4 linked regions of the Macaca mulatta genome follow. The protein of the gene in region 1 interacts with the protein of each later gene in a pairwise test. Links are inferred from orthologs where the notes say so. Each region holds a gene or a part of one and is shown in the gene's direction. Other genes may lie near its edges. The genes, in order: TXN2, RBM45, PPCDC and TRIM21.

Region 1 (7,715 bases):
GGACTGATAGGTAGCTGTGGAAGAGAAAGTGCTAGAGACAGAAAAGCAGATACAAAAATTGGCAGGGCGGCCGGGAGCGGTGGCTCATGCCTGTTATCCCAGCACTTTGGGAAGCCGAGGCGAGCTATCACTTAAGGTCAGGAGTTCGAGACCAGCCTGGCCAACATGGTGAAACCCAGTCTGTACCAAAAATATAAAAAATTAGCCGGGTGTGGTGGTGCTCACCTGTAATCCCAACTACTTGGGGGGCTGAGGCAGGAGAATCGCTTGAACCCAGGACGTGGAGGTTGCAGTGAGCCAAGATCATGCCACTGCACTCCAGCCTGGCTACAGAGCAAGACTCCGTCTCTCAAAAAAAAAAAAAAAAAAAAAAGAGGCCGGGCGAGGTGGCTCAGGCCTGTAATCCCAGCACTTTGGGAGGCTGAGGTGGGCAGATGACGAGGTCAATAGATGGAGACCATCCTGGCCAACATGGTGAAACTCCTTAGCTGGGCGTGGTGAGGCATGCCTGTAGTCCCAGCTACTCGGGAGGCTTAGGGAGAAGAATCCCCTGAACCCAGGAGGCAGAGGTTGCAGTGAGCCGAGATCGCGCCACTGCACTCCAGCCTGGGCAACAAGAGCCAGACTCTGTCTCAAAAAAAGAAAAAAAGTATTGATCAACAATTGAGAAACTGCCTGTTCTTTTCCTTTAAAAACGCGCGGCCGGGCGCGGTGGCTCAAGCCTGTAATCCCAGCACTTTGGGAGGCCGAGACGGGCGGATCACGAGGTCAGGAGATCGAGACCATCCTGGCTAACACAGTGAAACCCCGTCTCTACTAAAAATACAAAAACTTAGCCGGGCGAGGTGGCAGGCGCCTGTAGTCCCAGCTACTCGGGAGGCTGAGGCAGGAGAATGGCGTGAACCCGGGAGGCGGAGCTTGCAGTGAGCTGAGATCCGGCCACTGCACTCCAGCCTGGGTGACAGAGCGAGACTCCGTCTCAAAAAAAAAAAAAAAAAAAAAAGCCGGGCGCGGTGGCTCACGCCTATAATCCCAGCACTTTGGGAGGCTGAGACGGGTGGATCACGAGGTCAGGAGATCGAGACCATGCTGGCTAACACGGTGAAACCCCGTCTCTACTAAAAAATACAAAAAACTAGCCGGGCGTGGTGGCGGCGCCTGTAGTCCCAGCTACTCGGGAGGCTGAGGCAGGAGAATGGCGGGAACCCGGGAGGCGGAGCTTGCAGTGAGCTGAGATCCGGCCACCGCACTCCAGCCTGGGCGGCAGAGCAAGACTCCGTCTCAAAAAAAAACAAAAACAAAAAAAACAAAAAACAAAACGCTCTTTCAGCTGCTGCTAATCCAAGTGTATATTCAGGACAACTTGAATCTCTGCTCCAAGTTGCAGTCTTCGAACTTGACCCAAATAAACTCCCTGCTTAAATTAAGCTCGCCTCAGTTTTTGTTTTCCTTTAGGTGGACACAGACGAGGGCCATTTAAGGATGACCCCTAAACCACGGGTGAGTTCTTTTACATATAAAGGGCACCATGCCTTTGAAGAGCTTAGCTTTACTTATTAAATGAAGAAACAGAACCTGTCAACATCTGTAGGAAGTGGACGGCGCCAGTTATAAACAGGAGGCTAAGCAAAGTGACTCACGCCTGTAATCCCAGCACTTTGGGAAGCTGAAGCGGGCGGATCACTTGAGCTCAGGAGTTCCAGACCAGCCTGGCCAACATGGCGAAACTCTATCTCTATTAAAAATACAAAAATTAGCCCGGCGTGATGGCGCGCGCCTGTAATCCCAGCTACCTGGGAGGCTGAGGCAGGAGAATCGTTTGAACCCGGGAGTTGGATGTTGCAGTGAGCCGAGATCGCGCCACTGCAACTCCAGCCTGGGAGACAGAGCGAGACTCTGTCATTAACCAATAAATAAATATAATTAAAATCAAGCAACAGTAGTTGACAAAATCAAAAACCACGGGGACCTCTCAACTGCCTTTTCTCCCTTAAGCACCCTTCATTGCTACCCCGGCGCCATCACCTCCTCTTCCGGTCCCTCCTCTAGGGCCCGCCCACCCCTTCCGGTTCCGCCCCGCGCCAGCCTTCGTCTCGACCAGGGCCTGCCCGCCTCTTCCAATCCCTCCCCCGACGGCCTGCCCATTGCTTCCGGTCCCTAGTTGAGGCCCCGCCCTTTCAGTTGTGCCTCCTCCCGCCATTCCTATTGGCGGAAAATCCCAGACGCTCCTCAAATTAGAGAGGGACAGGTCGGGGGCTGTGGCTCACGCCGGTAATCCCAACACTTTGGGAGGCCGAGGCGGGCGGATCACGAAGTCAAGAGATGGAGACCATCCTGGCCAATATGGTGAAACCCCGCCTCTACTAAAAATACAAAAATTAGCTGTGCGTGGTGGCGTGCGCCTCTAGTCCCGGCTACTCGGGAGGCCGAGGCAGGAGAATCGCTTGAACTCGGGAGGCGGAGGTTGCAGTGAGCCGAGATCGCGCCACTGCACCCTAGCCTGGCGACAGAGCGAGACTCCGTCTCAAAAAAAAATATTCGAGAGGGATGGTGTTCCGCCTGCCTGTCCCCGGAAGTGACGTTAATGTCCGCCTCCCTGAGGAAGTGACGACAGGAGTGCCCTTGACAGGCAGGGAGGGCTAAGCTGTGCATCCCTCCGCTCGCGTTGCAGGGAGGTAGGAGCTCAGTGGGGCTGGCTTGAGATGGTGTCGTGATAGGCATGCCGCGAGCGCGTTCCTGCGCAGGCTGGCGGCCGGACGGGTGGGGGGGACCTAGCTCGCCGGAGAGCCGGGGTCCCTGGTGGCGTCCGATTTTTCCCAGTTCCCTCCATTCATGTCCCTTCTTTATTAGTTCCCTCCAGTACATGTCTCTTCGTTTTTGGTTCCTACCATACTCTTAGATCCTCCTTCAATTGTTGCGTTTCATCTTTTCAGACGACCCTGGGTTCCAGTGTTGGCTGTCAGTAGTGGGGTTACTTTGGGCATGTCACTTAACTTACTTGAGCCTCGGATGCCTTTCCTTATTTGCAATGTGGGCAGTACAATAGCAACTTCCTCAAAGTTGCTGTAGGAAGATCAAGAATATGTGTAAGGTACTTGGTCCTTACATAAATTATTAAATGTTGGTTACTCCCTCCCGTTCTTCTGTTATAATCTAAATCCCGATTTCTTTTTGGTTGTGAAGCCAGTTTTCCTGTCCTTCTGGTTTGCCTAGCTATTCCTTTCCTTTGTTTCTCAGCTTCCTCACTTCTACGCTACAAATCTTACATATTATTTCCTTGCATTTTGCTTCCCACTCTGCCTCTTCTTGAGCCCCGACTAATCCCCAAATCTCTTTATTTTTCTAGTGTGTCAGCTTCCTTTTGTGTGCCCCAATTCTTCTGCCTCTTCCCTCACAGATGGCTCAGCGACTTCTCCTAAGGAGGTTCCTGGCCTCCGTCATCTCCAGGAATCCTTCTCAGGGTCGGTGGCCACCCCTCACTTCCAGAGCCCTGCAGACCCCACAATGCAGTCCTGGTGGCCTGACTGTAACACTCAACCCAGCCCGGACAATATACACCACCAGGATCTCCTTGACGACCTTTAATATCCAGGATGGACCTGACTTTCAAGACCGAGTGGTCAACAGTGAGACGCCAGTGGTTGTGGATTTCCACGCACAGTGAGTATTGGGGGTCCACGGAAGACTAGGGTCCTACTTGTTCAAGTATTTGTTGAATGCCTGCTATGTCCCAGGACCATGTTCTATGCTGCTCATATGTAGACTCAGTATACAGACTGGTCAGGCCTAGTCCCTGCCCTCAAGGGGAGTACAGTCTAGTAGAAGACAGATGAGTGAACAGTCTGCAAGCTGACTGCAGTTAGTGCTGGGAAACACATGTTCTGTTTCTTAATGTCCAGAAAGCTCAGCGTCATCTTCAACATGGACCAGAGTTGGAAAAATATGACTGTCACCTTGCTTTTGGTGTATATCAGTTCCTGGCCCTGCAGATGAGTTTATTTTAATACCTTGCCGTGAAAACTGCAAGAAGGGCTGGCAAAAAGTTATCAGTGTCGGCCGGGCACAGTGGCTCACACCTGTAGTGAGAGGCCAAGGCACACCTTTGAGAGGCTGAGGCAGGCAGATCACCTGAGGTCAGGAGTTTGAGACCAGCCTGGCCAACATGGTGAAACACCATCTCTACATCCAGGTGTGGTGGTGCTCACCTGTAATCCCAGCTACTCGGGAGGCTGAGGCAGGAAAATCACTTGAACCTAGGAGGCGGAGGTTGCAGTGAGCCAAGATCATGCCATTGCACTCCAGCCTGGGCAAAAAGAGCGAAACTCCATCTCAAAAAAAAAAAAAGTTAGTGTCATTACCATGGTGTCCAAGCATACAGGGCATAGGAAGGAGTGTCCTTTCAGTGCTGTCTTGAGTTTGCTTTAGAGATATTTAAGTCCCTCTGGCTTTCTGATTTTTAGCCTGGCCTTTTTTGTTTCTAGACCTTTGGGGCCTGGCTAGAGACCCAGCTACACAAAAACTGGACAAAGCCCTCTGAATGTGGCATCCTGGGAGAAACCAGTGTAGCAGAAGTTAAAAATTCAGGGGCCTTCAGGTCGGGCACAGTGGCTCACACCTGTAATCCCAGCACTTTCAGGGGCCAAGGCGGGTGGATTACCTGAAGTCAGGAGTTCGAGACCTGCCTGGCCAACGTGGTGAAACCCCCGTCTCTATTAAAAATACAAAAATTAGGTGGGCCTGGTGGCGGCCACCTGTAATCCCAGCTACCCAAGAGGCTGAGGCAGGAGAATCACTTGAACCTGGGAGGTGGAGGTTGCAGTGAGCTGAGATTGCGCCATTGCACTCTAGCCTGCGTGACAGAGGGAAACTCCATCTCAAAAAAAAAAAGAAAGAAAAAGAAATTGAAGGGCCTTCTGGTCAGTCTCTGACAGATTGTTCTGCCATCTTTCCAGTTGTTTCTCTGACTTACCCTGTGGCCTTGGGCAGGCCGCTTGATCTCTTTGTGCTCCCTTCTTCACTTGTAATAGGAGATAAGGTCTTGCACGCTGGGTTTTTAGGTGTTATGAGTTGTTTTTGTTTTTCTTCTTTTAGAGACAAGGTCTCACTCCGTCACCCAGGCTAGAATGTAGAGTGCAATGGTGTGATCACGACTCACTGCAGTTTCTACCTCCTGATCTCAAGCAGTCCTCCCACCTTGGCCTCCCAAAGTGCTGGGATTACAGGCGTGAACCACTGCACCAGGCCTGAGGGTTTTTTTTTCTTTTTTTTGTTTTTGAGACGGAGTCTCATTCTGTCACCCAGGCTGGACTGCAGTGGCTTGATCAGCTCACTGCAACCTCCGCCTCCCAAGTTAAGACGATTCTCCTGCCTCAGCTTCCCAAGTAACTGGGACTGCTGGTGCCTGCCACCACATCCAGATAATTTTTTTGTGTTTTTGGGAGAGACGGGGTTTCGTCATATTGGCCAGGGGTCTCTTGAACTCTGACTGCAGGTGACCCCCACCCCCCACCACCTCGGCCTCCCAAAGTGCTGGGATTACTGGTGTGAGCCATTACTCCTGGCCTATTTTCAGCATTTAAAATCCTCAGGCCTGACCAGGCACGGTGGCTCAAGCCTGTAATCCCAGCACTTTGGGAGGTCAAGACAGGTGGATCACGAGGTCAGGAGATCGAGACCATCTTGGCTAACACGGTGAAACCCCGTCTCTACTAAAAATACAAAAAAACTAGCCAGGCGAGGTTGGCGGGGGCCTGTAGTCCCAGCTACTTGGGAGGCTGAGGCAGGAGAATGGCGTAAACCCGGGAGGCGGAGCTTGCAGTGAGCCGAGATCCGGCCACTGCACTCCAGCCTGGGCGACAGAGCGAGACTCTGTCTCAAAAAAAATAAATAAATAAAAAATAAAAATAAATAAAACCCTCAGGCCTGACTGGATGTAGTATGTACCACCACACCTACTGCTCAGGAGGCTGAGGCAGGAGAATTACTTGAACCCAGGAGGCAGAGCTTGCAGTGAACCAAGATCGTGCCATTGCACTCCAGCCTGGGCAAAAGAGTGAGACTCCATCTCAAAAATAGATAAATAAGTGCTGAGAATAAAATAGGAGTTGTCAGCCAGGGGTTTGTGAAGGGTGGAACTGTTTTGGCCTGCTGGTGTAGTGAGCATTCCAGAGAGGGCTTCCGAAATGCACGATAAATGGGGTAGTGCCTCATTTTGTTTGGTAAGGAAGTGGGGTGTGAGTTGTTCATTCTTTGCCAGGCACTGTCCTTGGTGCCACATACATAGAGATGACAGCACCAGGCCTGTCCTGGATGAGCTTCCCCAGCAAGAGGGGAACCTGTGATCAGGGCAGTGATAGTGGTCAACTCAGGGGCTGTGGGATCACAGAGTAGCCTGTGGGTGAAAGAAAACACTTTCTTTTTTTTTTTGAGACAGAATCTCTGTCGCCCAGGCTGGAGTGCAGTGGCATGATCTCTCAGCTCACTTCAACCTCCGCCTCCCAGGTTCAAGCGATTCTCCTGCCTCAGCCTTCCTAGTAGCTGGGATTACAGGTGCCCACCACCACTGCTGACTAATTTTTGTATTTTTAGTAGAGACAAGGTTTTACAATGTTGTTGGCCAGGCTGGTCTCGAACTCCTGACCTCAGGTGATCCGCCTGCCTCGGCCTCCCAAAGTGCTGGAATTATAAGCGTGGGTCACCGCACCCGGCTAAAGAAAACACTTTCAACACAGCTTTGGGTTATGATCGATCCCGGCTGTGCTTCTCTAATCTTGCACTGGTTTCTTAACTCGTATGGGCTTCAGTTTCTTTGGAAGGTGCGTTCTCTTTGCAGAGTTGAGGGATGTGTTTGGTAAGAGCAGAAAAAGTGCTTGTCCAGGGACTGGCGCGTTGTAGACACTCCTGGCCATTGGTTCCCCTCCTTTTAGTTCTGAGTCCACATGGTGTTTGCAATAACCCCGCAGCTTCCAACGCATGTTTACCCACATTGCCTTAGTTGATCTCTCCTAATAGCTTTGAGAGCCATAATCTCTCTTTTTCAGATGAAGAAACTAGGACCCCAGAATAATCGGCTGGTTGGTGAGGAGCCTCTGTTTGAACCTTTTAACTTCCAATCCCATATTCTTTTTTTTTTTTTGGGACGGAGTCTCGCTCTGTCGCCCAGGCTGGAGTGCAGTGGCCGGATCTCAGCTCACTGCAAGCTCTGCCTCCTGGGTTTACACCATTCTCCTGCCTCAGCCTCCCGAGTAGCTGGGACTACATTAGCTGGGACTGCAGGCGCCCGCCACCTCGCTCGGCTAGTTTTTTGTATTTTTTAGTAGAGACGGGGTTTCACCATGTTAGCCAGGATGGTCTCGATCTCCTGACCTCGTGATCCACCCGCGTCGGCCTCCCAAAGTGCTGGGATTACAGGCTTGAGCCACTGTGCCCGGCCCCAATCCCATATTCTTTTATATGACAGTATATTTATCTGAAATATACTGAAATAAGTCACTTTTATTCTAAGAGTCTTCTGATGAGGCCTGTGTTTTAGAAGTCTGGGATCTGTGAAGATTTCCCACGTGCAGAATCTCCTGGCATTACCATTTGGTGTGTTAATTTTTTTTTTTTTTTTTTTTTTTGAGACGGTGTCTTGCTCTGTCGCCCAGGCTAGAGTGCAGTGGAGTGATCTTGGCTCACTGCAAGCTCCGCCTCCCGGGTTCACGTCATTCTCCTGC
Region 2 (7,285 bases), on another chromosome or scaffold:
TAACAGAACTGTGTTTTCTGATACATTTGACTCTGTATTTACTAGTTATGTGATATTAGAGTTCTATATGGTTTCACTTTTGAGATAGATTGTAACATAGGCCTCAGGCACTCAATCTGCTTTCCTTTTTCATTTCTGCATATTCTCTATTTTAGGTCATGGAGTGGTTCAGTATTTTAATGTAGCATCAGCTATTTATGCAAAATACAAATTACATGGATTTCAGTACCCTCCTGGGAATCGAATAGGTGTTTCCTTCATTGATGATGGAAGTAATGCAACAGAGTAAGTACCATTCCAGGAGTGTCTAAAGCCGAGCTTTGAGTGTACATGATTGATAGGACTTGAAGAATAAAAATAGAAAACAGTTGACCTCTCAGGTGAGAAAGTCACACAAAACAAGTTACTGTTAAAAGACTGAATATTTTTAGTTTTCTGTAAATTATCAGTTATTGTCTCCAGTCTCCTTAGAAAAATGGCAACACAGATGGTAGCTGCACAGCTTGCATCAATGGTGTGGAATAACCCAAGTCAGCAACAACTTATGGTAAGTAGGTAAGAATTTAACCTTTATAATATATCAATAGCATATAAAATAAATGTGAAGAGAAATCATACTTTGTTGATTGTCTATGTAAGAAAATTTTCAGAGCTATAGTGGAAGACCACATAGATGCCATGATACATATCTGTCTTTAGCTCTTGGCCAAAAATCCGTAAAGGGCATTTTTTTCTTTTTCTTGTTTACCTGTTAACAGCAATTTGGAGGAAGCTCTGGATCACAGTTGCCTCAAATCCAGACAGATGTTGTACTTCCATCATGCAAAAAAAAAGCTCCTCCTGAAACTCCTGTGAAAGAAAGACTTTTTATTGTGTTTAATCCTCATCCTTTACCTTTAGACGTATTAGAAGATATATTCTGGTAAGAAAGTTACACTTTTTGTTATATTTTATTTACACTAGTAATTTAATTATTCTCATAATCTAGACACTTCCTTCCTCCAGTACCTATCAGGTAGAGATGATTTGTTCTCTGGTTTTAAAAACTCCTCATTTGTATCATCTTTTTCAATTTCTGATTATTTTCTTCTCTTGTTTATCAGTCACACATCCTAAGGCTCCATACAGAATTTCCTGCTACTTTGTTTTTGAAGACATAAAATGGGCCTGGTGCAGTGGCTCATGCCTGTAATCCCAACACTTTGGGAGGCTGAGGTGGGAGGATCACTTGAGCTCAGGAGTTCAAGATCAGCCTGGGCAATATGGCAAAACCCCATCTCTACAAAAAAGACAAGAATTAGCCAGGCATGGTGGTACATGCCTTTGGTCCCAGCTACTTGGGAGGCTAAGGTGGCAGGATTGCTTTTGCCCAGGAGGTCAAGGTTGCAGTGCGCCAAGACTGTGCTACTGTACTCCAGCCTGGGTGACAGAGTGAGACCCTTTTTGTTTTTAGTGTTTTTTTTACTAAGCATCTTCTGTTTTGTTGGTGCATTGTTGGATCCTTAAGGGTTATCCATTTGCATTGTGTAAACAATTACTTGATTGTAGGGAAATACATATAAATGTTTTTTATAATAAAAAAGAGAAGTTTCTTATTTATTTTTGTGTTTTTAACATAACTCCTTTCTTCGATTTTTCTTTTAGGCCTTTTTCCCATTTGCCTTATAAGAATGTTAGTGAATTAGATAGATAGAAAACTTGTTAAAGAACTGCACAAAATATCAGGGACATAATGTGATAGTATATTGAGGCTCAAAAGGAAAAAAAATCAGGACATGGTTCAAGTGTTTTGACCTTTATTTAACTGATATATTTAGTTTTTTTCTTGAACCTCTTCTTTGTTCAAGGCAGGAACTGTGCTAAGTACAAGAGACATTATGTAAACAAAATATTAAATGGACAAGACATTATAGTTCTTGTCATCTTAGAGCTGATCTCATGTAGGAAACAGACAGGTAAACAGAAAATTACAACCCGGTGTGATTGTTGCTGTGATAAGGAATGTGTAAGATACATAGGAGGAGCAGTTACCTTAGAAACTCTGAGAAGCCTTGAAAGAAGGCAGGTGTATGTGGAGACCTGAAGGATAAAAATAATTTCTCCACAGGTGAAAGCTGGGAGTGTGCATGGTTATTTCTGCCATAGAGAATATAAAAGAAGGGCTATTAGATAGGTAATTTGAGAGATTGTTAGGGAAGATGAAACTAAAGAGTCCAAGGACCATGTTAGAAAGGCTCTCGAGCTATCTTAAGGGATTTGTTGTCACCATGGAGGCAGTGGGGAGCTGCAGAGGGGACTTTTAGGGAGTAAATGATCATATTTATGTTTTAGAAAGATCACTGAAAAGACAGAGTGGAAAATGGATTGAAGAGGGACAAGCCCAGGGTTAAGGAAACTAGTGAAAAAGGAATTAGATTAAGGAAAAGATGATGGTCTTAATGAGAATGAATAGAATTGACTGACTGAGATGTTTAAGATGACATGAGGCCGGGCGCGGTGGCTCAAGCCTGTAATCCCAGCACTTTGGGAGGCCGAGGCGGGCGGATCACGAGGTCAGGAGATCGAGACCATCCTGGCTGACACGGTGAAACCCCGTCTCTACTAAAAAATACAAAAAACTAGCCGGGCGAGGTGGCGGGCGCCTGTAGTCCCAGCTACTGGGGAGGCTGAGGCAGGAGAATTGCGTGAACCCGGGAGGCGGAGCCTGCAGTGAGCTGAGATCCGGCCACTGCACTCCAGCCTGGGCGGCAGAGCGAGACTCCATCTCAAAAAAAAAAAAAAAAAAGATGACATGAGTTGGATGTCAGATGTGGGGAGAAGGGTGAAAAAGGAGTTAAGAATGGACTCCAAATTTTAGACCTGAGAAGCTGTATTTATCAATTTTGGTTGATTATTTTTTTCACTTTGTTTCAGTCGTTTTGGTAACCTGATCGAAGTTTACCTTGTATCAGGAAAAAATGTGGGGTATGCCAAGTATGCCGATAGAATAAGTGCTAATGACGCTATTGCCACTCTACATGGGAAGATTCTGAATGGGGTGAGACTTAAAGTTATGCTGGCAGATTCGCCAAGAGAAGAGTCTAACAAACGGCAAAGAACTTACTGATTCTTGAGGTAAGCCCTTTTTAATCTGAATTTTAAAACATATTGAGTAAATAGTATATGAGGAATATGTGTAAGTACTTTATGAACTTTTCTTTTTAGTGATTTAGAAGTTGTCAGTTAAAAGAGCTTTGCAACTATTTAAACTTTAAAAATTGTTGACATTTACTGAAGAATGTTTTTGCCCTTCTATAAAATAAAACCACATTTCAGTTTAGAAAGATAATTGTTTTTTGTTTGTGAAATCTTAGATTTTAAGAATTTGACTTTTTATTATGTGCTTATATAAACTTTAAAATTGTCCAGTGCTAGAATAAGGATTGCTTTAAAAAAAAAATTGAAATACTTCTAAAGATTTTTAACTTGAAGAATTGGTGTCTTGAGTTATGAATTGAGGTAATTTATAACAGTCGTTTAGAAAGATAATGTTTTGACTTCTCTCTAATGAAATGCCTAAAAAGCAATATCAAATAATATATCATTTTTGGACCTTTTGAACCTAAATATTGGTGTTTTCTGGACTTATATTTGTGAGTTTTTGCATTAAAACAGTACCTTCAGAAAATATTCTCGTGTGCATATATGTATTTTTTAAGAAAACCTAACAATTTACCAAAAACTCTTTATTGTAAATTTTGATACATACAGCCATATGAATTCCATTTCCTATTTTATTTATTAGTTTCCAAAAATCAAACTACAATTTCTTTGACTGTGACAGTTAGTTTATATCTGTGTGGTTTGGGGAAATATTCCTTTGGCTTTTTTTTTTTTATCTTTTTTTCTGAGACATCTCGGTCTGTCACCCAGACTGGAGTGCAGTGGTGAGATCTCAGCTCACTGCAACCTCCACCTCCTGGATACAAGCGATTCTCCTGCCTCAGCCTCCCCAGTAGCTGGGACTACAGGCGTGTACCACCACACCCGGCGAATTTTTCGTGTTTTTGGTAGAGACGGGGTTTTACCGGGTTTCGATCTCCTGACCTCGTGATCTGCCCGCCTCAGCCTCCCAGAGTGCTGGGATTACAGGCATGAGCCACTGTGCCCAGCCTAAAGTTTGGCTTTTTTTATTCTGTAAAATAATTCTGAATTTCAGGGGAAGCTGTTTTCCTGTTCACACACACCAACTTTCCAAGTCTACTATAGGTCAAATGTAGTAGATGGCAGGCACTTTGAATTCAGTTTGAAGTTACTGGCTTGAAACCTTTATTTTTTTCACTTAAGATTTTCTTTCTGACCAATTGTGTGAGCTAGCACATATGAGAATGAATCCTGCCAGGCATCACTGCTGATGACCCTTCCTCTCCTAGAACAGATCACATAATTAGTTCCTCCTTCATAGAAGGCATTTGACAAGAGAAAGTGCCCATTGGGCCCATTATGAATAATCCTAATTTTTAAATCTTTTAAAATGTTTTATTAAATGACAAAACCACTCTCATCGTACCATACATTGTTAGCAATTTAACCCTGGATATATTAAATTGGCAGTGAGAAAGAATTAGCAGGCATTTTTTCCTGTTTATGGATAAAATGTTAAGAATGAATTCTGTTTGGACAAGCTATTCTCTAGCATGCAAAAAATGTGTTTTTTCTAGTCTGTGAGTATTTCAAGAATAGGAAATAGTTCTTGCTTTTACTCAATAAATCTTTGTCCTTAAAAAGGACAATAATATAGACTTTAGACTTCTCAGTATAGAAAACTATATAAATTACTCTTATGGTTGAACCTTTTCTAATGATTATTTACATGTTAAAGAGATTATTGGGCTTAAAATAAAAAGCCATTTAACTGTGACTGAGCTGGTCTCTACGCCGTTTTTTTTTTTTTTTTTTTTAAACACAGAATCTCACTCTGTCACCCAGGCTGGAGTGCAGTGGCCTGATCTTGGCTTACTACAAACTCTGCCTCCTGGGCTCAAGCAGTCCTCGCAGCTCAGCCTCCCCAGTAGCTGGGACTACAGGCATGTGCCACCATGCCCGGGTAATTTTTTTTTTGTAAGACAGGGTTTTGCCGTGTTGCCCAGACTGGCCTTGAACTCCTAAGCTCAAGTCATCTGCCTTCCTCGGCCTCCCAGAGTGCTGGGATTACAGGCATGAACCACTGCACCTGACCCTCTTTGCCTTTTTGAGCCCCAGTTTTCTCATAGGGCTTTTGAGAGACAATGAGTCAACAAAATTCCTTGTAAAATGAAAAAAAGGCTTTGCAAGTCTAAGCTAAAACTCTTGCATTTGTAGCTTCAGTGAAACCTTTGAGATGTCCTCTTATCTAAAATAATGACATCCAAATGATCAGAAACTAAAAGTATAATGATATAAAACTACCTCATGGCCAGTTGGTACTGTGAGAACTAAGCCTTATAATACCACATTTTTCCCTGAAACTCATCCAATTTCCTACATTAGAGGAATTGCATATTCAGCATGGCTGTTCACAAAAATTTTAATCTATCATTTTTCCCTTTTTTGAACTGTTACACATATTCAGGGCAGAGATAAAATAGGGGTCAGGTTAGTTGAAATGGCTATTTGGATAGGATACGATTAGCTACACGGTTTTGAATTTCTTTTAATTGCAGCATGGCTTTTTTATTTTTGCTGCGGATCTTCTATTTACAATGGACTCCATTATGAGACTCTTCTTCTTTGTTGGTGTATTAAATAAATATATTACCTTATTTTAAGGTTCGATAAAATACTGTGGAAGACTTTCCCAAATTTTATATGATTGTGACAAGTTTTGGGGGGTAGGTGCACTTTTTTGTTTGTTTCTTTAATTTTTAAGAGGCTGCAAACACCATTCATGAAGGCTGGTTTATTTTATCTCTGAGGTATGGGCCTGGGATTAAGTGAGTCATGCCCAGGAAATAGAAGCAGCTGATCCAAGGATATAACATTGAAAGTAGTTGAGTTCTATTTTGAGATGGGTCTGATAACCACAATGTAATTCTCTATTTGAGGAAAATAGAAATTTTAGTATTTCAGAGAATCGGATTTTTTATTAATTCACAACACTTTCCCTCTAGAAATTCAGCACCTGCATCGCCCTTCTGAGTAAGTTTGGTTTTATTTGGGGGCAGCTATGATTAAGCAGATAACATTGGGTATATTGAAATAAAGGAACAATTCCTAACATTTTAGGAATACTACAACAGTTATTTCCTTTCCTTTCAGGTGATGATTTTCATACTTGTGTTGTGTTCTTTCTACAGAACAAAGACTAAATAATGACATAATCCTCAGCTGACTGACTGAAAATGTGACTGGACGCATTCCCTGTGGACAGTTGACAGCTTTTTTTTCATATACCTGATAGTCTGTGTACAGCATTGTTTTGTCTGGGAAGCAGGGATTGCTGACATGTATTTTTGAATCCATACATTAATGCTAAAACGAATATAGTAGTTGTTCCTTAGAGCAATATGTTGTTACGTGTAGCAGAAATAAAGTTTTCTTTGCTTAACTAAATGATGACTTATTTATGTGAAAGACAAGAATGGAAAAATTCAATAGACAGTCTTTAGAATTTGACTAAATGACATATGTCATTGATTTTGAGATGCACATCTTTCTCATTCTAACACCCCTGAAAGTAGAAGCATCTCGATATCAGTTGTATCGCATAATGTAATTAACAACCTTATTTTCTTTCTTAATAAAACATGAAAAGGTGCTTTTTTTCAATCAATTGCATCTTAGAGTCAATAAAATATGGTAATTGCTACTCAATCTATACATGGAGCTTAACTGTTTACACTTAATCTAAGGACAAAAGACAAAAATCATTGGAAATATTTTATACAGTATTTTTTTTAGTTATACCAAAATGTGTTGGTAATTTTGTAAAGCTCTTTTAAGATTATAAGGGAACAGTGATAAAAAAAAAATTAAAACTTGTTGATAATAAATTTAAATAAATGTCAGTGGCTTTGGGGGATGGACATTTTTATCTTTATAGAAATAATAGCCACTCCAAAAATATGAAATGTAAGGAATTTTCAAAACAGACTACAATAGGAGGTATAGTTATTTTGAAATTAAAGATTAAAAATTAGGGCTGGGGGTGGTTTGCTCACCACACCTATAATCCTGGCACTTTAGGAGGCCAAGGTGGGAGGATCACTTGAGCCCTAGAGTTCAAGAGGAGACCAGCGTGGGCAACATAGAGGACCTGGTCTCTACA
Region 3 (8,047 bases), on another chromosome or scaffold:
TGGTCACAGGGCAGTTCTGGGCACTTGAACTCAGGGCCCAAGCAGAAGCACAGGCCCAGTCCTGGCTGCAAGCACAATGGCCTGAATGGGATTTCAGGTTAGGTGGGGTGGGAGGCGAGGCTCTCTGGCTTTAGTTTTGTTTTGTTTTCCAAATCAAGGTAACTTGCTCCCCTCTGCCTACAGACCTTGGTCTTGGCTTGTCCTCACCCAGTCAGAACTCCCTAGCACTTTCAGGAGAGTGGCTTTAGGCCCATGGGGCTGTTCTATTCCAAGCAGTATAAGAACATGGCTGGTAGAGGCTCCAGCTGTGTGCAGGGCCTGAAGGGGAGTGGGTTCTCACCCAAAGAGCATCTGCCCATTTCCCACCTTCCCTTCTCCCAACAGAAGCCTGCCTGAGCTGTTTGGACAAAAATCCAAACCCTGCTTGGCTACTCTGGCCTGGCTTCAGCTTGGAACCCAACACCTAGGCTTCCAGGCCACCCTGAGCCAGGGACCTCTGGAAGTTCTCTTCCTGATGGTCCTTTAGGTTTGGGCCACAAAATATAATTACCTCTCCTCTCTCCCATTTTCTCTCTAGGGAGCAATGGTCACAGTCCCTGGTACCTGAAAAGGGACCCTAGGTCTAGGCCCTTCTTCCCTTTCCCTTCCTCTCTCTTACCTGAGACCTTTGGCTCCCTTTTCCTTCTCTCTCTGGTGGCTCCAGGAGGCCTGTGATCTAGCTCCCTGCTTAGCACCCATGACCTGTTGGATGTTACCTCCAATCAATATCCTGTCCTACCTGCCTCTTTGGCTCAGACCTATATGGCCACGCTCTGGCTTTACCCTTGGGAAAGCCTGATCCTGGTGTGTGGCCCAGCTTGTTCAGGCCCTGGGATGCTGCATCTCCAGGCAACTATGCACTCTCCCAGGGAGGGAACCAGTATGAGAAGTGGGGGCAGGGCACACATTTCATCTTTGCAGGAAGGTCTGGCCTGGGGTCAAGTGGAGGAGGGCCCAGGTCAGTTCTGGGGTCCCAGTGACCTGCTTTGCTATTCTCCTGGTGCCGCTGCTGCTCCCTATTTCTGGAGCTGGATGTTCCCCAGCTGGCAGTTGAGCTGCCTGAGCCAATGTGTCTGTCTTTGGTAACTGAGTGAACCATAATAAAGGGGAACATTTGGCCCTGTGTGTTCTGCTGTGCCATGTGTCTTCCTGTGGGCTTGCGTGGAGCCTCACGGCAGGCTGTGGGGCAGGGGCATGAAAGTATGGGGGCTGGGTGGGTCTGTGGTCTGTCATTCCTGGGATCTAGAGCTATACGACCCTGTGTGGCTCTTTATCTGATGCAGCCTTGCGTAGGTGATGAAATTGCCACCGAGGCCCCCTGCCTTGGGGGGAGGAAGTGGAAGAAGCAGGCTTGATCAGCCGGGCGTGGTGGCTCACGCCTGTAATCCTAGTACTCTGGGAGGCCAAGGCAGGTGGATCACGAGGTCAGGAGATTGAGACCATCCTGGCTAACAAGGTGAAACCCCATCTCTACTAAAAATATAAAAAATTAACCAGGCGTGGAGGTGGGCACCTGTAGTCCCAGCTACTTGGGAAGCTGAGGCAGGAGAATGGCGTGAACCTGGGAGGTAGAGCTTGCAGTGAGCCAAGATCACGCCTGGGAGACAGAGCAAGACTCCATCTCAAAAAAAAAAAAAAAAAAAAAAAAAAAAAAAAGCAGGCTGGATCCCTGGGTAAGGGATGGTTTGGCCCAGATGGTCCATTGCAGCCAAGGGCAGGGGTAGAGCAGAGGCCCCACCTCAGCTCAGGGCAGGGAACCCACAGCTGCTTTAGCCACCTCAATGAATACAGAGGTTTCTGGGGCCTGTGAAGGCTAAAAAATGAAAGGGGCAGGGAAGCATGCCCAATGTGCATTCTCCTGCTGCCTTCCCTTTGCCCATTCGATGCCCTCCACCTGGATTGCTGTTGGGATCCTGTATCTAAGCTCCTGGCTGTCCTTCAAGATTCATCTCAAGTCACTCCTTCAAGAAGGCTTTCCTGCCTGGAGGTGTTGCTTCCTCATGGAGGATCTTACCCTGTCATTTTCTGTGTCCCTGTTTGTGTCAAGAACAGGGACGCATCTGATTTATCCTGTATCCTGTGTGTATCCTGTGCACCTAAAATAGAAGAACCTTGGTAAATATTCAGCATTAAGTGCCCCGAGCCCTCTTTTACTAAGGACCTGCCAACATGGGCCCCATTCACACTAACACCGTGAAGATGGCCCTTTTCTATATTCCGTCATAAAAAAGTACTACACGCACCCGGGCAGCAACTTCCACACAAACAAGCACATGTGAAAGGAGATCACCATTATTTCCAGCAAAAAGCTCCCCAGGCCTGGGTGCGGTGGCTTACTCCTGTAATCCCAGCATTTTGGGAGGCCAAGGTGGGCAGATTGCTTGAGCCTAGAAGTTTGAGACCAGCCTTGGCAATAGAGTGAGAACCCGTCTCTACAAAAAATACAAACACTAGTCTGGCATGATGGTGCACTCCTGTAGTCCCGGCTACTCAATAGGCTGAGATAGGAGGATGGCTTGAGCCCGAAAGGTGGAGGTTACAGTGAGCGGAGATAGCACCACTGCACTCCAGTCTGGGTGACAGAGCCAGTCCCTGTCTCAAAAAGGAAAAAAAAAAAAAGCTCCCCAACAAGATAGCAGGCTAGAACATGCATGTGATGAAGGTGATATGAAGGGCTCAGTGAGAGGTATCTCCATCAAGTTGCAGGAGGAGAAGAGAGAAAGGAGAGGTGATCATGTTCCCGAGGTCTCAGGCCTGGATCAGGAGATCACTGAAGTATTAACAGATCCTGATATTAAGGAAATGCTGATGTTTTTGGACTTTGGCAGTCTGTCCAACCTGCAGGTCACTCAGCCGACAGTGGGGATGAATTTCAAAACGCCATGTAGAGCTGTTTGAATCTTTTCGGGATACTGTAATATATTCAATAAACCTGGGACAACAGCAAAAAAAAAAAAAAAAAAAAAAAAAAAAAGGCTCCAAGCAACGAGCAGTGTGTATGGGGCTGATAGGAGTGAGGAGAGGCGGTCGGACAGTTATGCCAGCCCCTATCGAGAGTCCCAGCAATACAAAGAACAGGAAGCCAGGGTTTGCTCCAGGATTTCCCCAGTGGACTATAACTCCTGGAAGACAGAGAAGTGGACTACAGCTCCCAGAAGGCTGCGCGACACACAGCCCCCACGGTGCTCTCGTGAGGCGTGACAGTCAGATTCCGCGGGAGGGCGGCAGAAATACCGCGATATTTGGGGTCGACCCCGAGACGCGCCTGGCGCGGGTGAGCAGTGGAACGGGGCCGGGAAGCTGGGTTCTCGCGGCGGCGCGGGAGGAGAGGTTCGGGGAGCTGTGTCTGCGAGCGTGGGTCCGTGGCTGTCTGTGTGTGTCCTCACTTTCCCCTCTGTGGCCATGAAGCTCTGCTTGCGACTGTGCGTGGGTAGACGGCTGTGCATGTGTGCGACCTCCGTTTCCCGGCTGTACGGGTGGGGCCGCCTGGAGCAGGAGGGACTCCAGAGCCCGGAGTGGAGGGTTTCCATCTGTGCACGTCCAGCCCAACTTTGTGCTGCTCTGCGATTATTTGTCCAGCGTCGTTTAATCTAGTTTAAATGATGGCCGTGTCAGCTCCTCACACTTAGCGTTTACTCGGGCTGCCCAAAATACAAAGTGTATTTTAAAAGTTGGTAAAATTAAAAAAGGAAAGCCATGGGATATTGGAAGTAGCCCTAGGCCTGCCAAAAAGTGCAGAATGCCGTTTAAAAATTAGGCCAAATCTTGTCGAAAAAGAACTTCCTGCTGTCCTTGAAGTATTTGGAAGCAGGTGCTAGATGGTGAGCCGGAGAGGTTCCCAGGTTGGGGAAGTGGTGGGTGTCTTGGACCAGGGGTTTCCATCTCTCTCACAGTGGCTGGAAAGTAGCAGTACGCAATCACTGCCTTTCTAGTAGCCCACGTGTGTGAGTGTGTGTGTTAGATACATTCATCCCTCAGTATCCGCAGGGGATTGCTGTATACTTTTTTTTCTCATTCTGTGACCCAGGCTGGAGTGCAGTGGTGGGAACATAGCTCACCGCAGCCTCGACCTCTTGGGCTCAAGGGATTCTCTTGCCTCGGTCCCCTGTGTATCTGGAACCACAGGCATAAGCCACCACACCCGGCTAATTTTTATTTTATTTTACTTTTGTAGAGACAGGGTCTCACCATGTTGCTCAGGCTGGTCTCAAACTCCTGGCTCAAGCAATCCTCCTCCCTTGGCCTCTCAAAATGCTGGGATTACTGATGTGAGCCACCACATCAGCCTTCCCGTATACTCTTTTTTCTTTTTCTTTTTTTTTTTTTTTTGAGTCAGCGTCTTACTCTGTTGCTCAGGCTAGAGTGTAGTGGTGTGATCATAGCTCACTGCAACCTCGAACTCCCTGGGCTCACATGATCCTCCCACCTCAGCCTCCCAAGTAGCTGGGACTACAGGCCCAAGCTACCACGCCCCACCATATAATTTAAATCATCTCCAGATTACTTATAAAACCTGATACAGTGTAAATGCTATGTAAATAGTTACACACTTTTTTATTGTGGTACAATTTAATAATAATTTATTATTAAATTATACAATATAAATTACAATAATAATTTATTATTATCAACATATTTTGAAACAGTCTCTGTCACCCAGGCTGGAGTGCAGTGGCAAAAACATGGCTCACTGCAGCCTTCTAGGCTCAAGTGATCCTCCTGCCTCAGCCTCCCAAGTAGTTGAGACCACAGGCATGTGCCACCACACCTAATTTGTAAATTTTTTGTAGAGCTGGGGTCTTGCTATGTTGCCTGGGCTCAAGCAGTCCCCCCACCTTGCCCTCTTAAATTGCTGGGATTACAGGTGTAAGCTGGAGCAGAACCCTGGGCGGCTGGTAGTGAGGGGCTTTGATGTTAGGCTAAAGGATTCGGGCTCATAATGGATCTTGGATCCCTGCCTACCCACCACCCACTTCCCTTGTTTGGTTCTGCTTTGTCTCAGGCTCAGTTCTCATCCTTCCTGTATTGAGCTTGAATGTATACCCTGTCTGACCTTGCTTTCCTTGCTCCCGTCTTTAGTCTGTTCTGTGCCAGCTCCACCTTTGCCCATATAGGGACTGGCAGGTATCCCTGAAACCTAAAACTCTGCCCTGAATTAAACTCATCAGAGGAGACTTAAACACACAAGCCGAGGCTCTTTGCGCTGTCTGTCCCTGTCTTTCTAGAGGATAGAGAAGCTGCCATTTTTCTGGCTGTGGCTTGCCTGCTTGGCTTGGTGCCCTGGGATCTTGAGGCTCAGTAATCACAGCCTGTAGCCCCATAATCTGCCTGCTTGCCAACTCTTTTTGCTGCTCAGGAGTTCCTGTGAGTTCAGCAGAGCCCGGGGAAGTGAGGTACTGTCTCCAGCTACCCTTCCCGTGCAAATAGGTGACTCCAACAGGATCTGGTTAGAGTAATAGACTTACTGGTTTGGAATTTGATCCTCTTTGCAAGCAAACAAAGGAATCCTGCCAGCCGTCACCCTTCCTGGAATTCTCAGGTTGAACTGATTTGACCTCGCCTCCAAATGTTGGTTAAATGATCCACTTTCTATTCCTCAAGTATATTAAACACACACATACACACACACACCCTCTTTTTTAGGAAGGTAGGTAGGTTTGATCCTTAGCACAGCTTTACTAAGCAGGCTAAGTACTATATTTCGGACTATAGTGCCTGCTGTGGGGAAGCAGTTGAAGTCACTAACACAGATTCCTGCCCCAAATTTAACTGATTGCTTTCTGTAACCTGTTTCCTAGGAATGAGATCAGCTTGATGCGGATGAGGTTCAGGGGCCTCAGAGATAAAATTTGGCTTCTGGTTTTGCAGGAATCTACCTATCCTAGCACCAGTTGGCTAGGGTGGGACAGGGTCAGGGTTTGAGATCTGGCAGGTAGGTTTCCCTGGAGAATAAACAACGTGCTCCCATCATCTACCAATGATGTGTTCTGGGAAGCAGCTGGCTGGTAGGCCCTCTGTACCTTGTCAGATGCTAACAGGGTTCCCCACTCCCTGGAGTAAACTGAGTTCTCCAACTCTGACCAAGCATTGCCCTGCAGTGGAGCAAACATTGAGATTACTGGCAAATCAAACTTTGGGTGATCTTGCCCTAGGGAACCAGCCTGTGGTTAACCCCTGCTGAGAAGTGGGATAATGCAGCCAAGCATGATCCTCAGCCCACGTGGGTTGTGCCCAAGTACTGAAGGCAAATCCTGGGCAGAGAGGCTAGAGAGCCAAGGGGCCTGTGAGCGAAGAGGAGACAGGCCCCTGTGGATGCTCAGCCATGGAGGGAGCCATTGGGCGACTCACCAGCATTGCTTCCTGGGCAGCTGCCTGGGTTTCCCTTGCCCTGCTGGTTCTTTTTAAAGTGTATCTTCTAGGACCTTCTGTCTTGTACGGAGAGGCCCTTACTGCTCTCTTTCATGTATCGAGTCAAAGTTTCTGCTGGAAGGAGCTTCAGAGATCATCTGGTCCTACCTCTTCATTTTTCTGATGAAGGGACAGGTCCAGGGAGGGAATGACCCTGGACCAAGGTCACTCCAGGTCAGGAGCACACCATGGTCAGGGCCCAGGGCTTCTGATTCACAGGCTGGGTATCTGTCTTCTGCCCCACACTGCCTTGGAGGGTATAGTTATTCATTCAGCACATGTTCAGGACTGCCAGCTAGTGGACTGCTGGTTGGCAATTAGACTTGGTCACACATTCAGGGAGCTTGCTGGTGGAGGGAGAGGCAAGGAAACTGATGTGTAAATTGAGTCTGTGATCACCAAAAAGGTACATCCCAGGGAAGGACTGATATCAGATAATTTCAGACAGGTGTGATTCCTGTCTTCTCGAACTCAACCTACAGATTCCCCAGAGGCAGCTACTGTGTTTTCCACAATTCTTTTGCATGGTGTTCAGTGTAATCGGTCCTCAGTGATGGTTGCTGATGAAGCATGTTCTGCTGGCCCAACCTGCAACGTGTAGGTTTTGGTGTCCATCAGCCATATTATCAAGAGCACTCACTTCTAGCAACGTCTGAGAGTCAGAGGAAGAAGCAAACCAGCTGGTCTCCTGGGGTGGCCTGCATCCTCTTTATGCTGGTTTCTTCTTGGGCTTTGATTTGTACGGTGGTGCCCATCTTGATTAACAAACAGGGACAGAGAGGTAAATCTCCTGGCTCCCTGGAGCACCCAAACCTCCTTGTTGCCCAGGGTTCCACCACATGAGCATCTTTGGAACCCATCCTCTCCTAGTCCAGTCTCTCCATTAGCCCAGTCCACTGCAGCAGCTCCTCTCACCCTCCAGTCTCTCCATTAGCCCAGTCCACTGCAGCAGCTCCTCTCACCCTCCAGTCTCTCCATTAGCCCAGTCCACTGCAGCAGCTCCTCTCACCCTCCAGTCTCTCCATTAGCCCAGTCCACTGCAGCAGCTCCTCTCACCCTCCAGTCTCTCCATTAGCCCAGTCCACTGCAGCAGCTCCTCTCACCCTCCAGTCTCTCCATTAGCCCAGTCCACTGCAGCAGCTCCTCTCACCCTCCAGTCTCTCCATTAGCCCAGTCCACTGCAGCAGCTCCTCTCACCCTCCAGTCTCTCCATTAGCCCAGTCCACTGCAGCAGCTCCTCTCACCCTCCAGTCTCTCCATTAGCAGGGTCCCTTTGACACTATCACTAGGTGTCAGCACCATCTTTCTAAAACCGAAACTCCTCACCCTGGCCCTCGCTGCCCATGGCATTCTGGCCTCACCCCGACTTTCAGCCTCACCTCCTACCCCTCCACCACCCCACATCACACTCTGGCTTCACTACTAAGGCACTCCCTGTTCCCCAACCTGCCGCACTCCTTCAGGACTTTCACCTTTGCAAGATTGTACCTTCTTTTGAAGTGATTTCTTCCCATCTCTGAAAAACTAACTCGTCCTTCAGGACTCAACCCTAACATCATCTTTTCTGGGATGCAGCCTCTGACTTCCAGAGATGGTCACT
Region 4 (7,870 bases), on another chromosome or scaffold:
ACTGCATGGATATTCCTCAAGAGGTTTTCTATAACGGCTGATATGGTTTGGATTTGCCCAAATCTCATGTCAAATTGGAGGAGGGGCTGCTGGGAGGTGATTGCATCATGGGGTCGGATTTCCCCCTCGATGTTCTTGTGATAGTGAGTTCTCACGAGATTTGATGGCTTAAAAGTGTGTGGCACTTTTGCCTTCACACTCTCTCCTGCCATGTGAAGAAGTGCTTGTTTTCCCTTTGCCTTCTACCATGATTGTAACTTTCTTATGGCCTCCCAGTCATGCTTCCTGTTAAGTCTGTTGGACTGTGAGTCAAACCTCTTCTTAAATTACCCAGTCTCAGATAGCACCTTATAGCAATGTAAGGACAGACTGATACAATGGTCATACCAATTTGCATTTCATCAACAGCATACAAGGGTTTTCTTTTCTCCTTTACTTGGCCTACAGAAAGACTTAGACAACCACAAAATAATAGTGGGAGATTTCAACACCCCACCAATAGCATTAGACAGATCATTGAGACAGAAACTAACAAACTCTGGACTTAAACTCAACACTCAGAAAACTGGACCTAATAGACATCTACAGAACACCCCATAACCATGGAATATGTTCTTCTCATCTGCACATGGACCATATTCTGAGATTAACCACATACTTGGTCATGAAGCAAGTCTCAAGTTCAAAAAAAATGAAATCATACCAAGCACACCCTTGGATCACAGGTCAATAAAAATGGAAACCAATATCAAAAAGCTCTCTCAACTACACAAATGCATGGAAACTAAACAACTTACTCCTAAATAACTTCTAAGCAAACATCTAAATTAAGGCAGAAACTTAAAATTCTTTGAAATTAACAAAGATGGAGATACAATTTACCAAAATCTCTAAGATGCAGCCAAAGCAGTAAGAGAAAAGTTTATAGCCCTAAATACCTTCATCAAGAAGTTGCAAAGGGCTCAAATTAACAATCTAACTTTGTACCTTAAAAGGACTAGGAAAAAAATTCCCAGTGCCAGCAGAAGAAAAACATTAGAGAAAAACCTAATGAAATTAAGATACAAAAAATCCAAACAAAAGGTCGATAAACCCAAGAATTCTTTGGGGGGGAAATAAACCACAACTAATAGACCCTTAACTAGATTGAGATCCAAATAAGCATAATGAAATAACAAAGATAATATTACAACTGATCCCAAAGAAATGCAGAAGATCCCCAGAGACTACTATGAATGTCTTTAAGCACACAAATTAGAAAATTCACAGTGAATCAAGAGATTGAAACCCTGAAAAGCTTCAGAAATTGAATCAGTAGTAAAGAAGTTCTTAATCAATGTTAATGTCCAAGATATGATTTACGGCCCAAAGTGTGGTCTACTTGGTGAATATTCTACTTGGTTTACTTAAAGAATGTATATTCTACTGTTTAAATATATTGTGTGCATTTCGATTGAATACTGTTGGTTAAAATATGTTCAGTGTTAACTGGCTTTTCTATTTTTTCCCCATACCCTTATCTGCTGGATGCATTACTGATGGAGAAAGGCATTAATCTCAACCTTTAATAATGGATTTACCTATTTCTTTCAGTTCAGTTTTTTGCCTCACATATCTTGATCTATTGTGGGTACATACACACTAAAAATTCGTCTTTTCATAGACTTGACATCATTATCATACATTCCCTTTTATGCATAATAATATTGCTTTCTCTGGAGTTTGCTTTGACTGTAGTTGATATAGCTATTCCAGGTTAATTCTTTTAATTTTTAATTTTTGTGTGTACATAGTAGGTACATTTTAATGAGGTAAATAAGATGTTTTGATACAGATATGCAATACATAACACTCACATCATGGAGAGTGGGGTATCCAATCCCTCAAGCATTTATCCTTTGTGTTAAACAATTCAATTACTTAGTTACTTTGAAATGTGCTGTAACATTATTGTTAACTCGTCACCCTGTTGTGCTATTAAATAATAGATTTTATTCATTCTATTTTTTTACCCATTCACCATCCCCACCTTACCCCTCCTGTAACCTTCCCAATGCCACAGATAATTAAGAACATACAATATTTGTTTTTCTGTGCCTGTGCTACTTCACTTAACATTTTCATTTCCATCTATGTTGTTGCAAATGACAGGATCTCATTCTTATACACAATGGACCACTATTCATTTATATGTGCCACATTTATTTTATTCATCTGTTGATGGACACTTAGGTTGCTTCTAAATCTTTGCTATTGTGAACAGTGCTTCAAGAAAAATGCGAATAAAAAAATTTCTTCAATATACTGATATCATTTCTTTTAGATATTGTATTAGTCCATTTTCACACTACCATAAAGAATACCTGAGACTGAGTAATTTATAAAGGAAAGAAGTTTAATCGATTTAAAGTTCTGCGTGGCTGGGGAGGTCTCAGGAAACTTATGGCAGAAGGCAAGGGGGAAGCAGGCACCTTCTTCACAAAGCAGCAGAAGAACAGCAAGCAGGGGGAATTGCCAAATGCTTTTAAATCATCAGATTTCATGAGAACTCCCTCATTATCATGAGAACAGCATGAGGGAAACTGCCCTCATGATCCAACTGCCTCCCACTAGATTCTTCCCCAACATGTGGGGATTACAAATCAAGATGAGATTTGGGTGGAGACACAGCAAAATTACATCAACTATATACCCAGCAGTGGATTGCTGGACCATATGGTAGCTCTATTTTTAGTTTTTTGAAGAACCTCCAAACTGTTCTCCAGAATGGCTGTACTAATTTACATTTCCATCAACAGTGAATGAGGGTTCTCTTTTCTTGACATCCTCGCCAGCATTTGTTAGTGCCTGTCTTTTTTATATAAGACATTTTAACTGGGATGAGATTTATAGTTTTGATTTTCATTGCTCTGATCAGTAATGTTTAATGCCTTTTCATGCCTGTTTGCCATTTGTATGTCATCTTTTGAGAAATGTCTATTCAAATATTTTGCCCTTTTTTGGTTCAGATTACTAGGTTTTATTTCATATAGAGTTTGAGCTCTTTATTCTGGCTATTAATCGGATACATCATTAGATTTTTTTTAAAAGTTTTTCATCTTTTTTGATGTATGCAGTTACATCTATAAACTTCCCTCTTGCTGCTTTCACTATATCCTGTGAATTTTGGTATGTTGTTTCTATTTGTTTCAAGAAACTTTTCAATTTAATTTTTTCGTTGACCACTGGTCATTCAGGAGTGTATTGTTTAATTTCCATGTAGTTGTATAGTTTCCAAAATTCTTATTATTAACTTATAGTTTTAGTTCACTGCTGTCAGAGAAGATGCTTGACATTTGTACTGGTCAGGGTTCTCTAGAGAGACAGAACTAGTAGGATAGGTGTCTATATGAAAGGGAGTCTATTAAGGAGTATTAACTCACATGATCACAAGGTGAAGTCCCACAATAGACTGTCTGCAAGCTGAGGATCAAGGAAACCAGTCCAAGTCCCCAAACCTTAAAAGGAGGGAAACTGACAGTACAGTCTTCAGTCTGTGGCTGAAGGTCCCTAGTAAATCACTGGTGTAAGTCTAAGAGTCCAAAAGCTGAAGAACTTGGAGTCTGATGTTTGAGGGCAGGAAGAAGCACAGGAGAAAGATAATATCTGGAAGACTCAGCAAGTCTGCTTTATTCTAGCCACACTGGCAGTTGATTAGATGGTGCCCACTCACATTGAGAGTGGTTCTGCCTTTCCAAGTCCACTGACTCAAATGTTAATCTCCTTCAGCAACACCCTCACAGACACACCCAGGAACAATACTTTGCATCCTTCAATACAATCAAGTTGACATTTGTTAACTATCACAACATTATTTCAACTTTTTGAATGTGTTAGCACCTGTTTTGTAACCTAACATACGGTCTATCCTGGAATAATCCATGTGCTGAGGAAAAGAATGTGTATTTTGTAGTAACTGCACAAAATGTTCTCTAAATGTTCTCTATTAGGTCCATTTGGTCTATAGTGCAGATCGAGTCCAGTATTTCTTTTTCTGTCTGGAAGATTTGTCCAATGCTGAAAGTGGGGTGAAGTCTCCAGCTATTATTGTATTGGGGCCTACCTTCTTTAGCTCTAATATTTGCTCTATGTATCTGAGTCCTTCAGTGTTGGGTGCATATATATTTAAAATTGTTGTAACCTCTTGCACAACTTGACCTCCTTATCATTACATAGCAACCTTTGCCTCTTAGTTTTCATCTTAATCTACTTTGTCTGATGTAACTATTCTCATTCTTTTTTGGTATCTATTGGCATGGAATATTTCTCTTCATCTCTGTATTTTCAGTCTGTCTTTATAGATGAAGTGTTTCTTCTAGGCGACAGATCACTAGGTCTTGTTTTTATCATCCATTCAGCCACTCTTTTGACTAGAGAGTTTAGTCCATTTATGTTTAATGCTACTGATAAGTAAGGACGTAACTCCATCTTGCTGTTTTCTTGTTGTACAGTCTTCTCTTCCTCCTTTCCTTCCTGTCTCACTTTAGTGAAGGTAATTTTTTTTTTTTGAGGTGGAGTCTTGCTCTGTTGTCCAGGCTGGAGTGCAGTGGCATGATCTTGGCTCACTGCAAACTCTGCTTTACAGGTTCAAGCAGTTCTCCCACCTCAGCCTCCCAAGTAGCTGGGATTACAGGTGCCTGCCACCACGCCTGGCTACTTTTGTATTTTTACTAGACATAGGGTTTCACCATGTTGGCCAGGCTGGTCTCGAATTCCTGACCTCAGGTGATCCACCCACCTTGGCCTCTCACAGTGCTAGGATTACAGCCATGAGCTACCATGCCTGGCCAGGAATTTTTTTTCCTCTGGTAATATGACTAATTTATTGTTTTTTGTGTATCTATTGTAGGATTTTGGTTTGAAAGTACCATGAGGCTTCAAATACTATCTTTACAACCCATTTTTTATGCCAATTATATCTTAATCCTGTTCACATAAATAAGAAAAAACTAAAACTAAAACTTTGTTCCTGTGTTAGTCTGTTCTCACACTGCTAATAAAGACATACCTAAGACTGGGTAACTTATAAGGAAAAAAAAAAGGTTTAATGGACTCACAGTTCCATATGGTTGTAGAAGTCTCACAATCATGATGGAAGGCAAAGAAGGAGCAAAGGCACATTGTACATGGCAGCAGGCAAGAGAGAATGTGCAGGAGAACTGCCCTTTATAAAACCATCAAATCTCATGAGACATTCACTATCACAAGAACAGCATGGGAAAAACCTACCCACCCCCATGATTTAATTACCTCCCACAACATATGGGGATTATGGGAGCTACAATTGAAGATGAGATTTGGGTGGAGACACAGCTAGACCATATAATCTCCTGACTTTTTAATGTTTTATTTCTATCTTATTGTACTATTTCTTAAAGATGTTATTTTTGATCATCTTTTAGTCCTTCTACTTAGCATAAGAGTAGTCTCCACATCAGTTAGTATAATTATATTCTTTGTTTTTCTATGTACTTACTATTACCAGTGAGCAGATAATTTCTTCTTGCTCATTAACATCTTTCCTTTCTGATTGAAGTATTATTCTAGCATTTCTTGTAAGACAAGTCTGGTGTTGATTAAATCCTTCAGCTTTTGTTTGGGAAATTCTTATCTCTTTTTGACATTTGAAGAATATTTTTGTCAGGTATATTCTGGAATAAGTCTCTTTTCCTTCAGCTCTTTAAATATGTTTTGGTCTGTATGGTTTCCACTAAAAAGTCTGCTGCCAGATATATGAAAGCTCCATTGTATACTTTCTCAGGGACTAGAGTCAAAAACCTTAGTCTACCCAGCATTCTAATTGTACTGCAACTGGGCTGGCACCAAAAACAGAAGATGCAGTCCTTCCCACCTTTCTCTCCCCTTTCCAAAGGCAGGGGAGCCTCACCTCATGGCTACCACCACCTTAGGCCCATGGAAAATGCTGTCAGACCACTACCAATGTTCCCTTTAGGACCCAGGGCTCTTAAGTCAGCTTGTGGTGAAAGCTGCCTGGCCTGGGACTCTCCCTTCAGGGCAGTGGGCTCCCCTCTGGCCCAGGACAGGTCCAGGAATGCCACCTCAGTCAAGTCCTGAAACTGGGGACCTCAACAGCCTGCTTCATACTCTACCCCCTCCCACCATGCCTGAGCTGGCACACTTTACCCTCTGCTTTGCTCAAGTGGAAGTGTTGCCCCATAGCTACCACAGCTGGTAATGGGCTGAGTCTTACCTGAAGCCAGCATGTCTCAGAGGTTCAAAGTCCCTTGACATAGTACCTGGGTATTGCTGCTGTTTATTCAGGGCCTAAAGGCGCTTCAGTTAGCAGGTGATAAATGCTGCCAGGACTGCTTCCTTTCCTTTAAGGTAGCAGGTTCCCTTCTGGCCCAGGGTGTATCTAAAAATGTCATCCAGGAGCTAAGACCTTATGACTCTGACCAGTACCCTATTCTACTGTGGCTGAGCTGGTATACAAAATGCATAACAGTCCTCCCCACCCTTTTTTCTTTCCTCTCCAAACAGAAAGAAGCAGTCTCTTGTCGCTGTGAGCTGTGCAGCCTGGGAGAGTGGAGTGATGCAAGCACTGTTAGCAACCCTGGCTTGTGTCTGAGTAGGTCATGTGCTGCCCCCGTCTACCGTCTCTAGGCCCAGTTCCACACTAGGACTCATAGTTGCAGTTCTCGTGGCCTAAATTGCCTTTCAAGTTTAGAGCCCCAGAGCACTTTAGCCCTCAGTGGCGAGGTTTGCATGAACTCATGTTCTAACTGTTGGGATGGTGATTCCCCTCTGTCTAGGGATGATTTAAGTATTTCCTCTGTGGATGGGCAACAACTGAGTCTGGGATGATTCTCCTGTCTGCTCTAACAGGACAGCACTGAGTTCGTTGCCTCACAATTGCTGAGTTTTCCCTCCCCCAGCACCTGGAGATGCTCACCACACTGCCACTGCCCAGGGATGTTGAGAGTGGTTTCAGCACTTGAAGACCTTTTTTTCTACCTCTTCAGTCACTCTTTTAGTGATACAAAGTTAAAACCAGGTACTATGAGTGCTCACCTGATTTCTTTGGTTATTATGAAGGTGCTTTTTGTGTGTGTAGATAGTTGTTAAATTGGTGTCCTTGTGGTAGGGACTATTGGTGGTGCCTTCTATTCCATTTTGCTCTTCCTCCTGGAAAGAAATCTCCCAGCTTGCTTTTCATTATTAGCAAAACGATGGAAAAGACATACTGTGCTTATAATCTGTGCCTTTATATTTAAAGTAGATTTCTTGTAGACAGCATGGTTGGGTCTTGGTTTTTACTCTTTAATCTGCTCCAAACTTATTTTTAAAAATAAAAAGTCAAAACTTGAATACAAACAACATGGCTACAGATCACATACCCTTAAAGACAGGACTGGTTAAACATAATTTTTTAATCCTAGCAAGACTCAGCTGACTTATTACTGTCCAGGTCCTGAGGCTGAAGAGGTATCCTGGAATGTCTAATTCCTCTGGATTCTGAAACTTCTTTCCTTGTTCATATTGATTTAGCCATCTTTGTACCCATCTTGCATTGGAAAATTGGAAGACATTAGAATTCTGGGGATTACTCTGCAAACGCAGGGAGAAACGACAAGAAAGCACAGTTCACAGCTTTCTTGCCCAGGAGTATCACACAGAAAAGCAACCTATGAGGTATCAGTAACCCTGTCCCCAAAGAACCTCAAAGTGGCCATTGTGACTAAAAACAAACATCTCTCAATACCCTTGCATCCCCTCAAATTCTAGATTGCAAGTATATCTTGGGGGTGCTCTTTCATCCTTGCTGTACAACTCAACTTTTGGCTTCACCCCAAGACTCAGATTGTAGCAT

Evidence for each region.
Region 2: the proteins of TXN2 (region 1) and RBM45 interact in binary tests that used the Homo sapiens proteins (3 or more experiments, as listed by UniProt). The two-hybrid records come from large-scale screens. The link is inferred for Macaca mulatta from reciprocal best matches to the Homo sapiens genes TXN2 and RBM45.
Region 3: the proteins of TXN2 (region 1) and PPCDC interact in binary tests that used the Homo sapiens proteins (3 or more experiments, as listed by UniProt). The two-hybrid records come from large-scale screens. The link is inferred for Macaca mulatta from reciprocal best matches to the Homo sapiens genes TXN2 and PPCDC.
Region 4: the proteins of TXN2 (region 1) and TRIM21 interact in binary tests that used the Homo sapiens proteins (3 or more experiments, as listed by UniProt). The two-hybrid records come from large-scale screens. The link is inferred for Macaca mulatta from reciprocal best matches to the Homo sapiens genes TXN2 and TRIM21.

The regions. Positions count from the first base shown.
Region 1 is NC_133415.1:15,067,555-15,075,269, forward strand, and holds the start of TXN2 (thioredoxin, mitochondrial), read left to right. Parts: upstream 1-2,606; 5' UTR 2,607-2,675; intron 2,676-2,933; 5' UTR 2,934-3,082; coding exon 3,083-3,091; intron 3,092-3,397; coding exon 3,398-3,660; intron 3,661-7,715.
Region 2 is NC_133417.1:83,058,556-83,065,840, forward strand, and holds the end of RBM45 (RNA-binding protein 45), read left to right. Parts: intron 1-155; coding exon 156-285; intron 286-462; coding exon 463-547; exon of another isoform or gene 548-555; intron 556-758; coding exon 759-922; exon of another isoform or gene 923-962; intron 963-2,867; exon of another isoform or gene 2,868-2,913; coding exon 2,914-3,106; 3' UTR 3,107-3,114; intron 3,115-6,276; exon of another isoform or gene 6,277-6,314; 3' UTR 6,315-6,570; downstream 6,571-7,285. UniProt on the Homo sapiens protein: RNA-binding protein with binding specificity for poly(C). May play an important role in neural development.
Region 3 is NC_133412.1:52,974,291-52,982,337, forward strand, and holds the start of PPCDC (phosphopantothenoylcysteine decarboxylase), read left to right. Parts: upstream 1-3,061; 5' UTR 3,062-3,076; coding exon 3,077-3,313; exon of another isoform or gene 3,314-3,397; intron 3,398-5,393; exon of another isoform or gene 5,394-5,432; intron 5,433-6,891; exon of another isoform or gene 6,892-7,017; coding exon of another isoform or gene 7,018-7,044; exon of another isoform or gene 7,045-7,368; intron 7,369-7,698; exon of another isoform or gene 7,699-8,047. UniProt on the Homo sapiens protein: Catalyzes the decarboxylation of the cysteine moiety of 4-phosphopantothenoylcysteine to form 4'-phosphopantotheine and this reaction forms part of the biosynthesis of coenzyme A.
Region 4 is NC_133419.1:71,425,577-71,433,446, forward strand, and holds the start of TRIM21 (E3 ubiquitin-protein ligase TRIM21), read left to right. Parts: upstream 1-2,499; 5' UTR 2,500-2,509; intron 2,510-7,870. UniProt on the Homo sapiens protein: E3 ubiquitin-protein ligase whose activity is dependent on E2 enzymes, UBE2D1, UBE2D2, UBE2E1 and UBE2E2.